Xenopus tropicalis: one gene and its partners. The protein of the gene in region 1 purifies or fractionates together with the protein of each later gene. This does not show direct contact. Links are inferred from orthologs where the notes say so. Each region holds a gene or a part of one and is shown in the gene's direction. Other genes may lie near its edges.

Evidence for each region.
Region 2: the proteins of smarca1 (region 1) and pole3 purify together in Homo sapiens (affinity purification with mass spectrometry; 3 studies listed by BioGRID and IntAct, with this or other methods). This does not show direct contact. The link is inferred for Xenopus tropicalis from reciprocal best matches to the Homo sapiens genes SMARCA1 and POLE3.
Region 3: the proteins of smarca1 (region 1) and rbbp4 purify together in Homo sapiens (affinity purification with mass spectrometry; 5 studies listed by BioGRID and IntAct, with this or other methods). This does not show direct contact. The link is inferred for Xenopus tropicalis from reciprocal best matches to the Homo sapiens genes SMARCA1 and RBBP4.
Region 4: the proteins of smarca1 (region 1) and cecr2 purify together in Homo sapiens (affinity purification with mass spectrometry; 3 studies listed by BioGRID and IntAct, with this or other methods). This does not show direct contact. The link is inferred for Xenopus tropicalis from reciprocal best matches to the Homo sapiens genes SMARCA1 and CECR2.

Annotation. Positions count from the first base shown.
Region 1 is NC_030684.2:50,389,261-50,392,832, reverse strand, and holds part of smarca1 (probable global transcription activator SNF2L1), read left to right. Parts: intron 1-823; coding exon 824-1,036; intron 1,037-3,572.
Region 2 is NC_030684.2:2,374,117-2,376,875, forward strand, and holds the end of pole3 (DNA polymerase epsilon subunit 3), read left to right. Parts: intron 1-890; coding exon 891-1,009; intron 1,010-1,761; coding exon 1,762-1,934; 3' UTR 1,935-2,229; downstream 2,230-2,759. UniProt on the Homo sapiens protein: Accessory component of the DNA polymerase epsilon complex. Participates in DNA repair and in chromosomal DNA replication.
Region 3 is NC_030678.2:90,302,059-90,304,935, reverse strand, and holds part of rbbp4 (histone-binding protein RBBP4), read left to right. Parts: intron 1-1,436; coding exon 1,437-1,563; intron 1,564-2,459; coding exon 2,460-2,537; intron 2,538-2,830; coding exon 2,831-2,877. UniProt on the Homo sapiens protein: Core histone-binding subunit that may target chromatin assembly factors, chromatin remodeling factors and histone deacetylases to their histone substrates in a manner that is regulated by nucleosomal DNA.
Region 4 is NC_030679.2:8,775,263-8,779,528, reverse strand, and holds the start of cecr2 (cat eye syndrome critical region protein 2), read left to right. Parts: upstream 1-1,409; 5' UTR 1,410-1,548; coding exon 1,549-1,662; intron 1,663-4,266. UniProt on the Homo sapiens protein: Regulatory subunit of the ATP-dependent CERF-1 and CERF-5 ISWI chromatin remodeling complexes, which form ordered nucleosome arrays on chromatin and facilitate access to DNA during DNA-templated processes such as DNA replication, transcription, and repair.

The DNA of each region.
Region 1 (3,572 bases):
ACAAAATATTTGAAAAGATGCAAAAGACTGATACAGTAGTCATAACACAATAAGAAAGGATTGAGTACACGTTCTTAAAATGTACAGGGGCGCTAAGGGCTCTAACAGTAAATCTGCAGACAGAAGTTGCTTCTCTCGGGTTTATGTATAAAAAGTGCATAAACGCTATCTGAACTTCAAGAAATAAATATAAATCTATTGCAGTACATGTGTGTAATCCAACTCCTGTCCACCTATCACCTTGTCCCATTGTGAAGTGATGAATTCTGGGACTTGAACTCCTTTTGCTATCCATAGCGGGTGGTGCATGAATTCTCTGAAAAGTAGTGGGACTTCAAGTGCCAGAAGCAATCGCTTCACAATGGGATAAGGTGATGGAGGGGTTGGATCAGTCTGTAAGACTAAAGGCGGGGTAAGGAACTGGTCTGTAAAACACAAGTAGACGATCATGGTTTCCACTAAAACGGAGGAATTAAAAAACACATTTCTGTTTAAATCTGGAAGTTAAGATTTGTGTACCTTTTCTACATAAGCCCAATTGAATGAGCTTATGACAAAAAGGGGGGGGGGCCATATAAAGAAATATATTCCCTTTAAATTCTTCAAGCAGAACTGATAATTATTTTAGAGGGGAAGTACACACCCTTTTCAGCATGAGTTCATGTGCTAAACACACTTTTTCCTTAGTATTTTAGGGAAAGGCATTTGGCTCGGAACATTAAATATGTGTTTATAGTGATTTCTAGAAGGTAGGCTGGAGGTTTTCACTTTTTGGTGAATTAATGTGGGGATTAATAAGAATATTGTTCTTTGTTGTGTTTAGATTGCAAGGTACAAAGCTCCTTTTCATCAGCTGAGAATCCAGTACGGCACAAACAAAGGCAAAAACTATACAGAAGAAGAGGACAGGTTTCTCATATGCATGCTTCATAAAATGGGCTTTGATAAGGAAAATGTATACGAGGAATTACGTCAGTGCGTGCGAAATGCTCCTCAGTTTAGGTTTGATTGGTTTATCAAATCAAGGACTGCCATGGTAAGCATACTTCTATTTTAATTGCTTGATGTAAAGCTTCAGTTTCTGTTCATCATACTAATTGTAGTGAAGTGTCTTCCCCAGAAATCCTGCATAACTATGTACTTGTTTATAGATCCCCACTTATCTGGTAGTTTTGGACTAGCAAAATTCCAGATTATAAATAAAACACTGTTGTTACCCTACTTATAATATGAATTAGCTCTCTAAAACTATATCCCCAGAATGAATACTTAACCAACAGATAATTTGTATAATATTAAGTGGCCTGTTAAAGAGCATTACCACACTGGAATATGAATATGAATAGCAGTTAATATTTCCGTTCTTCTATTTTTACTTGAGCCACCGTTTTGTGATGGTCCGTGTTCTCCCTCAGAAGTCACCTGACAGGAAATAATGCACCTGTAACAGGAAGAAGCGTGGGAGCAAAAGACAGAACTTTAAATGAGCTCATGTGACCTAGCATGTATGTGTGTCCAGTAAATTGTATGCTCCCAGCGGGCAGCCCATAGTACTTAAAATCACAATTTTCTATTTAGGGCTACCCAAAGCACATACTACAGTACTAAAAAAGTATATTTTTATGAAAATGGTTTATTTAGCTGAAACAGTATTTTACATATGAGCTTATTTATGCAATATATTAATGTAGAGACCTACATTGTTCAGGGGAAGAGTTTTGCTTTAAAGCTTTTCCTCTAATTGCTGAACCTCATTATTTTTTATCTCAGTATCTGAGCATTCATATAATGATCATTTTTGACGTTAACCTTACAATTTTGAAATCAGAACCATAGAGCAACTCAATCAAATTTCTATGACTTTTCTATACTTAAATACATCTTTCCAGCACATAAACCCCAAAGCACTAACCGATGACAGGGCAAAAAGAAAAATGAGAGCGGGCCACAGCTATCACTTTATTTTTATTGTCAAAAATGTCTCAAAGTTTTCAGCTCTGTTTAGTAAGCAAATATAAATAAATGTCTCGCTTACAAGTGAAAAACTGCTGAAAGATTTAAACCTTGCCACTGAAATGTGTGCCTATTGGAAATAATATACAGAGGGAGAACATATTTTTTTGCTGTTTAAACAATAAGATTGCTGGAAACTTTTACCAAACTGCTCTATAGATTCCATGCAGATTCAAGTTTTGTAAATGTCAATGTTAATCAGGAGGAATGGAGGAATTAACCAGTGTTAATCAGATGGAGGAATACCATGTACTTATCAATAAATCTAGTGACTTGTTTGAAGGCCTTATGAGCATATAGTAAGAATAATAAATAGCTAATTTGCTTAGAAAATTTGATGGCAACCATATGATGTAATATTTTTTTATTATTTTATACACATTGCATTAACATTTAAGTGTACTGTGTACATTATAAGAAGAAAAACATAAATATAGTGTGCAGGTTTTGACCCATTTAACTACTCGATGCACTAAAATATCTCACAGTATGTGTTTAGTGTATTCTAATTAACTAAGGTTTATTGGGAATTGCAGAGTAGTAGCATTTTCTACACTGGCAGAACATTCTATATTAATATTAATCTCCATTTGCTCTAGAGGAATAAAGTTAATATGTAATATAAAGTTTTATTATAGCTTTCTTTGTCCTTTTCCATCTCACAGTGGGGATAGGAGAGTTGAAATAGGGTTATACAAACTATGAAACTTTATTTTGGCATTAATTGAACATAAGTGGGCTTAGTGCCTTCAATTCAATGTCAATTGGTGTAACTATAAAGGAAAAGGCCCCTCTAGGTCTGCTTCTGCTATGGCTGTAGAGAAATCCCCCCTCCTCGGGTGCTTTCCTACCTTAGAGCAAGCAGGGAGAGGGGGACATGACCAGATGGGGGGATGTGACCAGGCAAGTGTCATTGTGTATGTACTGGAAGGGAAGGGGCAGCTAAAATAAATAAGGGACATATTTGTTTCAGTTATAACAGGAAATAGGGGATAGAGGGGGTAAGTATTGAGGCATACTTTGCTTTAAAGGAGCAGTGTAAATAGAAAAAGAGGGGGTGTGTTTTTGTATATTAATTATAATTTAACACCCAGAAAACAGGAAGAAGCTGTAGTAAGAATGAATAAAATCCCTTTTCCTTTCTGTATCACAGAGAAGCCAGATTACAGTTTTACTTGAAGAGATCACATTCAAGCTTATATCCTGGAGAATGGCATTATGGGTAGTAATAATGTAGTTATAAGTAGCAATCTGCATAGTTGTCAGTTTAAGAAAAGGTTAGATGCCTTTTTAGCAGATAAGAAATACATTACTGCCCAGTTACATTAGGGAACGAGGAAGATTTTTCTGCAGCAGACTGAAAACTGCTTAAAAGATTCAGTTTTTTCACCTTCCTCTATCAGTAGAAGTTGAATAATAATAATAATAATAAGGCCAATAAAATGGTGGCAAACGTTTTACTCTTTTAATTTAGTCTACTAAGGTTTAATTTGCTGACCCCAGAAGAAAAATCAAGGAGGCCTATATCTACATTAAAGCAAGCACTAACCAAAAACCAG
Region 2 (2,759 bases), about 48 Mb from region 1:
CTGGGCACACAATAAGCTGTACCTCCATACTGTACTGTCTAAGGGAAACACTATGGCACCCCCTACCCATATGTATAAATACAAATATACAGAGAGGGAATGTTCTGGGCACACAATAAGCTGTACCCCCATACTGTACTGTCTAAGGGAAACACTATGGCACCCCCTACCCATATGTATAAATACAAATATACAGAGAAGGAATGTTCTGGGCACACAATAAGCTGTACCCCCATACTGTAACTGTCTAAGGGAAACACTATGGCACCCCCCTACCCATATGTATAAATACAAATATACAGAGAGGGAATGTTCTGGGCACACAATAAGCTGTACCCCCATACTGTACTGTCTAAGGGAAACACTATGGCACCCCCTACCCATATGTATAAATACAAATATACAGAGAGGGAATGTTCTGGGCACACAATAAGCTGTACCCCCATCTGTACTGTCTAAGGGAACACTATGGCACCCCCTACCCATATGTATAAATACAAATATACAGAGAGGGAATGTTCTGGGCACACAATAAGCTGTACCCCCATACTGTACTGTCTAAGGGAAACACTATGGCACCCCCTACCCATATGTATAAATACAAATATACAGAGAAGGAATGTTCTGGGCACACAATAAGCTGTACCCCCATACTGTACTGTCTAAGGGAACACTATGGCACCCCCTACCCATATGTATAAATACAAATATACAGAGAGGGAATGTTCTGGGCACACAATAAGCTGTACCCCCATACTGTACTGTCTAAGGGAAACACTATGGCACCCCCTACCCATATGTATAAATACAAATATACAGAGAGGGAAGTGATGCCCCGGTAGATGTTACTCTCAGGCTTATAACTTGCTGTATTTTTCCATATGTTAAAGCGCCAACAACTTTGCCATGAAGGGGAAGCGGAAGACTCTAAACGCGACTGATGTTTTGGCTGCAATGGAAGAGATGGAATTCCAGCGCTTTCTGACACCCCTGAAAGAATCCTTGGAAGGTACCAGTCTCCTCCTTCTACTCCACCCTGCTCTGTACTCTTGGCAGGGAAGGTGTTAAGTTAGCAAATGGACCTGGACTGGCAATCTGTGGGTACTGGGAATGCCAGGGGGGCTGTAAGGTGCCACAGACAGTCACTATTTATTGGGCTGGGGGGGGGGCTGTTTGTGCCTCTGGGTACTGGGAATGCCAGGGGGGCTGTAAGGTGCCACAGACAGTCACTATTTATTGGGCTGGGGGGGGGCTGTTTGTGCCTCTGGGTACTGGGAATGCCAGGGGGGCTGTAAGGTGCCACAGACAGTCACTATTTATTGGGCTGGGGGGGCTGTTTGTGCCTCTGGGTACTGGGAATGCCAGGGGGGCTGTAAGGTGCCACAGACAGTCACTATTTATTGGGCTGGGGGGGGGGCTGTTTGTGCCTCTGGGTACTGGGAATGCCGGGGGGGCTGTAAGGTGCCACAGACAGTCACTATTTATTGGGCTGGGGGGGGGCTGTTTGTGCCTCTGGGTACTGGGAATGCCAGGGGGGCTGTAAGGTGCCACAGACAGTCACTATTTATTGGGCTGGGGGGGGGCTGTTTGTGGCTCTGGGTACTGGGAATGCCAGGGGGGCTGTAAGGTGCCACAGACAGTCACTATTTATTGGGCTGGGGGGGGGCTGTTTGTGGCTCTATGTGAGAATCCCACCTTATGTGTGTTTGTGTAACTGCCCCCAGCCGTGCATGTAATTGTTATCCCTTTACCCCCACCCAGTTTACAGGCAGGATCAGAAAGGCAAAAAAGAGGCCACGGAGCAGAAGAAAAAAGACAAGGAGAAAAAGGCCGACTCTGAGGATCAGGACAAGAGTCGTGAAGAGGAGAATGAGGATGAAGATGAGAAGATGGAGGAAGATGAAGTTGTGGAAGAGGAGGAAGTGGAGAACTGAGCGCAGGAGAGCATGATGGGACTGTGTGGCCCCTCGGGGGGACCTTGTTTTGTCGCGACACTGACTTCCTGATCAGTCAGGCTTTATGGTTGTAATCATTTACTGCATCGCTGCGCCACTCTTACCCTCCAACCAAGAGCTGTGGGCACTTATTCTCCGGGTTGCACCCAATGCCATTCTGTAGGGGCATCCCCATGGCAACCACGTGGCACAGCGGCAGTGCCCAGCGGGCAGCTTTATACACGGCCTTTGTAGATAACTGGGGAGTGTCATATTAAATGTTTCTTTTGTTACACACGCGGCCTTTGTCTGTGGCGCCTCCTGTGTGCTGACCCAGGCACCTGTAGGTGGGCGCCTCCTGGGTGCTGACCCGGGCACCTGTAGGTGTGCGCCTCCTGGGTACTGACCCGGGCGCCTCCTGGGTACTGACCCGGGCGCCTCCTGGGTACTGACCCGGGCGCCTCTAGGTGTGCGCCTCTTGGGTACTGACCCGGGCGCCTCTTGGGTACTGATCCGGGCGCCTCCTAGGTGGGTACTGACCCGGGCACCTGTAGGTGGGCGCCTCCGGAATCCTCTCTCTATTATAGTATTTAGCTGTTTCTTATGGAAATCCCCCCCGGGGTCAAGGGCAGAACCCCTTAATGTGCCCCCATTGGAGGCAGTTGTTGCCTTTGCATGTCGCTCTCTGCAGCCTAATGCGCACTGACAGTCGGGCATGGGAGCCTGGCACACAGGGGACATGTTATGGTAACAAATCCCCCCCCGGGGTGCCACGCCCACAAATGGCTTCAGTTAAACAGACCGGACATAACCCGGCGGGATTGG
Region 3 (2,877 bases), on another chromosome or scaffold:
TAGAATATATATGCTGCATTATAATTAATTGATAAATATATATAATGTATTAGTAATTAATACAAATAATTACTACATGGCAGCTTTAAAACCAGTGCAATTAGTATCAGAATGTAATAATCAGCCCTGTGGTATCCACTTATATGACGACCTTATATTTTGCTTGATAATTTGCAACAACCCCTAAGTTCAGCTGCCCAGATCACAAAGAGCATGTGGGTGTCGCAGACCCTTTCCAAGATGGGGAGCTCCTCTGACAAGTTTGAAGTTGTGGATCATTGTTGCTATTGAGATGCTGATACTTTAGGCTGGTGCAGTAAGTTCAGTATATAAAATATGGCATTTTTAGCCATATTCATTTTTAGGGTTTAGTTCTCTTTTAAAGCAGTTGAATTGCATTTAGAGTAACTGGATTTAATTTATGAATCCTTTATGTACTTACTGGACAAATTCCTGAATAACATTAATGTAAATGTAAAGTTTTTTTTTTTATGCTGGTGGAGAAAAATGGAATGGCTTGATTCAGTGATAGAAACGGCATCTGCTTGTCATTGCACATACTGGGTGGATTTTTTTTGTCCTAAAAATCAACACTTAGGGGCCCATTCATGAAACCTCAGTTTCTGGTTGTTAAATAGTACACATGGGTTATTTTTAAGTTCTCTATTGGAATTATTTTGGAAAAATTTTTTTCTACGCACACGTTCAAATTAGGTAGAAGTCTGCCACTGCATAAATAAATGAATAAAGGCAATAGATCATTGACATTTTTTATGCAGATTTAATGCTGTGGAGAAGGAAGAAGTCTATTCATAATTGTGGATGAGAACCAAAATTAAAGAATAGCCAGTGGAGTTAATATTAAAAGCTAAAAATATGGAAAAAAAAATTTGTGGTTTCGTGAATGGGCCCCTTAGTGTGATAAAGGGTCAAGAGGAAACCCTTAAATAAGTATGGTATGTTAAGCTTATATTACTTCTGTGTAATTATTTTGCATCATTATTAAATGAAGCACTCACTGGGAACTTTCTGACTGTGCAGTACTGGTGAATTTCAGTGCTGTAAAGGCACTTTTAAACTTGTTTAGTAGTTTGTTGTTGTTTGTTTGTAGTTATTGACAAATTAAAAATGTAATTCAAAATTATGAAAAAGTGTACTTCCATTTTGCTGTTTTCTGGCTTTAGCTGAAGTGCCAAACAAGCAGAGGCACGAAGTTTAGTTTTGCTCCCAAACCCCCACCAGTGTCATTTTGGCTGGAACTTTGCCTATTACCATATGTATACCTTCATTTTACCTCCACCTTAGCTCCCAAGCCAGCCAGCAGTAACCAAAACTATAAAGTAACTTTCGTCAGCTAAAGCTTATTGCCTCTTCAGAGGGAACTTATTGTATTGCCTTTCTTAAGACTGGAGTGATAGTCCTATTTTTGTTAACAGCTGGGACACCCGATCAAACAACACATCAAAGCCCAGCCACTCTGTGGATGCTCACACAGCTGAAGTCAACTGTCTGTCATTTAACCCTTACAGCGAGTTCATATTGGCAACTGGGTCAGCTGACAAGGTAAACATTACATTTTACCATATGTTGACTGACTTTTTTTGTGTATTAGTAAAGTTCTGAATCCTGTATCACGTGTCCCTTGTACCAAAGAAATTTAGTTTTTAGGATGCATTCAAAGGACATTTAAGTTAAAAGGTGCAAGTTTGTATAGCTGTGTAGAATACAGTGGGTTTTTTTCTTGAGCAGGAAGAATGTGGTTCTTATAGACTAGTGCCACGTGGGATGGATACCAAGCCTGCAGATGAAAGTGGAATTCAGAGCAACTGCGTATGCAGTTTCGTACCATATTTTGCGTAATATTTTAACCCGAAACTGCATGCTCGAACAGCCGCTTCCATATATTTAGAGTGTAGGGGGCAGGTTCTCGGCCTGCACTTATTCCCGAGGTTAAGAATCTGCCCCCCAAGTGCCACAAGCCAAATGAACTGTAGAATGAAAACCATTTAAAATATTCCATTTCTTGCAAATACATTTTTTGGGCACAGACTTTAAATGTAAAAAAAAAAAGTGTACTTGATTACGTTACTGGTCACGATTCAGGCCAGCTTTATTGTAGTATTTCTAACTACTGTGGGGTTGTCGTACAAAATAACACATGGCCTGCTGTGGCCTGCTTTCAAAGCAAGGGTCGGTTGTAATACATACTTTACAAAGCAATGTGGAAAGCTGTTGGAAATTAGTGTGTATGAGTACTTTTTTAAGCCTCATGCTGTAGACAGATTTAAACAGCTACTTTTAGATAGGATCACAAGTAGTCTGTGCAATTCAAGTGTATATATTTTGCTCTTGTTTGGCCTAATGTGTTTTGCATGATGCATCTGGATTTTTAAGGGCCCTTTTTATTCCTACCAAATGATTTCTAACGTTACACTATATTTCCCTCGTCTTTCTCTCAGACTGTTGCATTATGGGACCTACGCAATCTGAAATTAAAGTTGCATTCATTTGAATCTCACAAAGATGAAATTTTCCAGGTATTGTCTTGAATTTTTTTTTTATCATAGCTTTTAGGGAACAAAATGGTTTACACTGTCTGCTTTAAGGGCAAATGAAGGCAAAATGGAAGTATGTATAAAGGACTTTAACCCCACTTGTCACTTTGATCTGACCCTATAAGACTTGGGTCTGACGTAATACAGTCTGTAGCTGTCTTCTCATAAAGGGTTACTATTTTGAGATAATGTGCACAAATTGTAAGCCTGACATGTATATTGTGAAATGCAGAATAGCTAGAAATAACAGATTTCATAATTTTTTTTTTTTTGAGCAGGTCCAGTGGTCCCCACATAATGAGACCATCCTGGCATCCAGTGG
Region 4 (4,266 bases), on another chromosome or scaffold:
GTGAGTGTATATGAGTGAATGAGTGTATATGAGTGAGTGAGTGTATATGAGTGAGTGAGGGAGTGAGTGTATATGAGTGAGTGAGTGTATATGAGTGAGTGTATATGAGTGAGGGAGTGAGTGTATATGAGTGAGTGAGTGTATATGAGTGAGTGTATATGAGTGAGTGTATATGAGTGAGTGTATATGAGTGAGTGTATATGAGTGAGTGAGTGTATATGAGTGAGTGTATATGAGTGAGTGAGTGTATATGAGTGAGTGAGTGAGTAAGTAGTGTGTATATGAGTGAGTGAGTGTATATGAGTGAGTGAGTGTATGAGTGAGTGAGTGTATATGAGTGAGTGAGTGTATATGAGTGAGTGAGTGTATATGAGTGAGTGAGTGTATATGAGTGAGTGAGTGTATATGAGTGAGTGAGTGAGTGAGTAAGTAGTGTGTATATGAGTGAGTGAGTGTATATGAGTGAGTGAGTGAGTGTATATGAGTGAGTGAGTGTATGAGTGAGTGAGTGTATATGAGTGAGTGAGTGAGTGTATATGAGTGAGTGAGTGAGTGTATATGAGTGAGTGAGTGAGTGTATATGAGTGAGTGAGTGTATATGAGTGAGTGAGTGAGTATGAGTGAGTGAGTGAGTAAGTAGTGTGTATATGAGTGAGTGAGTGTATATGAGTGAGTGAGTGAGTGTATATGAGTGAGTGTATATGAGTGAGTGAGTGTATATGAGTGAGTGAGTGAGTATGAGTGAGTGAGTGAGTGAGTAAGTAGTGTGTATATGAGTGAGTGAGTGAGTGGATATGAGTGAGGGAGTGAGTGTATATGAGTGAGGGAGTGAGTGAGTGAGTATGAGTGAGTGAGTAAGTAGTGTGTATATGAGTGAGTGAGTGAGTATGAGTGAGTGAGTGAGTAAGTAGTGTGTATATGAGTGAGTGAGTGTATATGAGTGAGTGAGTGAGTGTATATGAGTGAGTGAGTGAGTGTATATGAGTGAGTGAGTGTATATGAGTGAGTGAGTGAGTATGAGTGAGTGAGTGAGTAAGTAGTGTGTATATGAGTGAGTGAGTGAGTGGATATGAGTGAGGGAGTGAGTGTATATGAGTGAGGGAGTGAGTGAGTGAGTATGAGTGAGTGAGTGAGTGAGTAAGTAGTGTGTATATGAGTGAGTGAGTGAGTATGAGTGAGTGAGTGTATATGAGTGAGGGAGTGAGTGAGTATGAGTGAGTGAGTGAGTGTATATGAGTGAGGGAGTGAGTGAGTGAGTATGAGTGAGTGAGTGAGTAAGTAGTGTGTATATGAGTGAGTGAGTATGAGTGAGTGAGTGAGTGTATATGAGTGAGGGAGTGAGTGAGTGAGTGTATATGAGTGAGGGAGGGAGTGAGTGAGTGAGTGTATATGAGTGAGTAGTGTGCCCGGAGTGGGTTCCGAGTCCCTCCCCCAGTCTCCTCCCTCCCCAGCCCCCTCCCCCGCTCCATCTGCTCCCAGCCCGGCCGGGGATCACATTGTACCGGAGCTCCCCACACGCTGTAGCCGGGCTCGGGGTGCTGCCTCGGGATGCCCCCGGTCGGTGCCCTGGGGGAGCTCCGCTCTTGTTGGCGGGTCCCCGCCATCGCGCATTTCTGCTCCCTCTTCCGCACCGCCTTCCAGCTGCCGGACTTCGAGATAGAGGTGAGGGGCCGGGGGGCCCGGGGGCCTGGGGGCGGGAGCGGAGGCTACACCTGGGCCGGGGGCGGCGTTACGAGTTTGGGGCGATGGCGCTTTGAGTTTGGGGCTAAACTTGGGAGATAAGGGGGGGGGGTACCTGCTACTACTGAGCGGCAACTTTCCCTGGGACTGAGAGACTGCAGCCTGGGTATGGGGCACCCCTGTCTGATGGTATATCCCCAACACCCCCTGTCTGATGGTATATCCCCAGCACCCCCTGTCTGATGGTATATCCCCAGCACCCCTTGAGTAGCCTGAGGGCCGGGGCAATAGCTGCGTTATTCCAATAATTCGATTTCCCAATATTATTCTCTCAGTAATGTGCCCTCCCTACCTATTTGCTCATATATCTAAACTTCTTGGACCCCCAGAAGTCCTATTCTACCTTATTTGCCCTGCATATCCCCCCCCATAGTTCATTTAGATTTCTCTAACCCCCCCCCCCCCATAAGATAGTACGGTCTTATTTAGCTTTTAGCAGCATAACAGGGGTTAAATGTAGCCAGTGGGTTTGAGTGTAACTCATTGCTCATTGATGTGAAGGGTAAGTGCTTGCAGCAAGCCAGCTGTTGTTGCACTACAATTCCCAAGAGGATGCTGGGATTGGTAGTTCTACAACCCACACAGGGGCGTCTCTGCACTGACTACCAGTTTAATGGGAGACTTTATAGCCCTGTGGCACTGGAATATGGGAAACACAATGGGGCCAAACCCATTCGTTCTGCTGGTGTCTTGGGCGCCCAAGTGCTTGGATAGACTTATTTTTCTGGGAATTAAATAGAAATGGTTAAACTTTTCCTTGAGTACTTTGCCCGAGTTCTCTCCGTGCCGCAGGATTAGGGGGATATGCGATTAGTCAGTGAGAATTGCCATTAAATGCCCATAGGATTAACCCCGTATCCGTGTACCTGGGGCACGGCGACCGCTCTGTCTTTATTTCAATAGGGATATAAACCCAGAAATATATATTAAGCATTTTCCCAATACCCATCCATTCATTCTTCATTCTCACTGGGTTTATAGTTATGTGTAATTGTCACTGTGTCTGTCCCTTTCCCTTCCCTGCACTGCTGGTTCTGACTCCTGATACAACTCCCCAATATCCATTCATTCCTCATTCTCACTGGGTTTATAGTTATGTGTAACTGTCACTGTGTCTGTCCCTTTCCCTTCCCTGCACTGCTGGTTCTGACTCCTGATACAACTCCCCAATATCCATTCATTCCTCATTCTCACTGGGTTTATAGTTATGTGTAACTGTCACTGTACCTGTCCCTTTCCCTTCTCTGCACTGCTGGTTCTGACTCCTGATACAACTCCCCAATATCCATTCATCCCGCATTCTCACTGGGTTTATAGTTATGTGTAACTGTCACTGTACCTGTCCCTTTCCCTTCTCTGCACTGCTGGTTCTGACTCCTGATACAACTCCCCAATATCCATTCATCCCGCATTCTCACTGGGTTTATAGTTATGTGTAACTGTCACTGTGTCTGTCCCTCCCTTTCCCTTCCTTGCACTGCTGGTTCTGACTCCTGATACAACTCCCCAATATCCATTCATTCCTCATTCTCACTGGGTTTATAGTTATGTGTAACTGTCACTGTGTCTGTCCCTTTCCCTTCCCTGCACTGCTGGTTCTGACTCCTGATACAACTCCCCAATATCCATTCATTCCTCATTCTCACTGGGTTTATAGTTATGTGTAACTGTCACTGTGTCTGTCCCTTTCCCTTCCCTGCACTGCTGGTTCTGACTCCTGATACAACTTCCCCAATACCCATTCATTCCTCATTCTCCCTGGGTTTATATGTGTTACTCTCATTGCTGTCTGTCCACTGGTTCTGACTCTTGAAGCCATGTAGCAGAAATCTATTCTCCTTGTTTGTTAATCAGCTGCTTCTCCCGTATTGGGTTTACTTCCCCTTTACCGGAGGGTTACAGTAATCACTAGGCACCTCGTTGGTCTCTTGTACCTGAGCGCCAGGGTGCTGGATGATGTAACACCATGTAATTTGTTTTTTTTTTTTTTTTTTTTGTCCGCTGAACCTGTAACATCTGGAGTCGGATCCACGTTCAATGCAACAGAGAGAAAAGAAAAACTTAAATATAGGTCTTCCGAACCATAAATAGGATTGGTGGACAAAATAGAAAGAGTAAAGGGGACATTTCTAGAGGCACCCAAATTTTACCAGTGACAGGTTTATGGCATATGGGGTGCTTGTCTGGCGCTGCCACCCTGTTGGGGTGCTCCAGATACCAGAAAGGAGGTCCTTGTCCCATAGCGTTTAAACCTAAGTGGGTCGGCGACTTACAGACGGGTGTTCTAGATATAAGGTCTAGATAGATAGATATATAGTCCAGATAGATATAAAGTCCAGATATAAACTACTCTTTGGTTGCCAAAATCTGGTTGCTAAGGTCACTGACTTTAGCAACCAGCTTACATGTCAAGCTTTACTTTGTAGGGAAGCAGAATAGAGAGAGAAATCATTAAGCTTTGGGCACAGCCATCTGCGGCATATTTAAATGTTTTTTGTGAAGGTTTACGTGTGATTTCAAAGATAA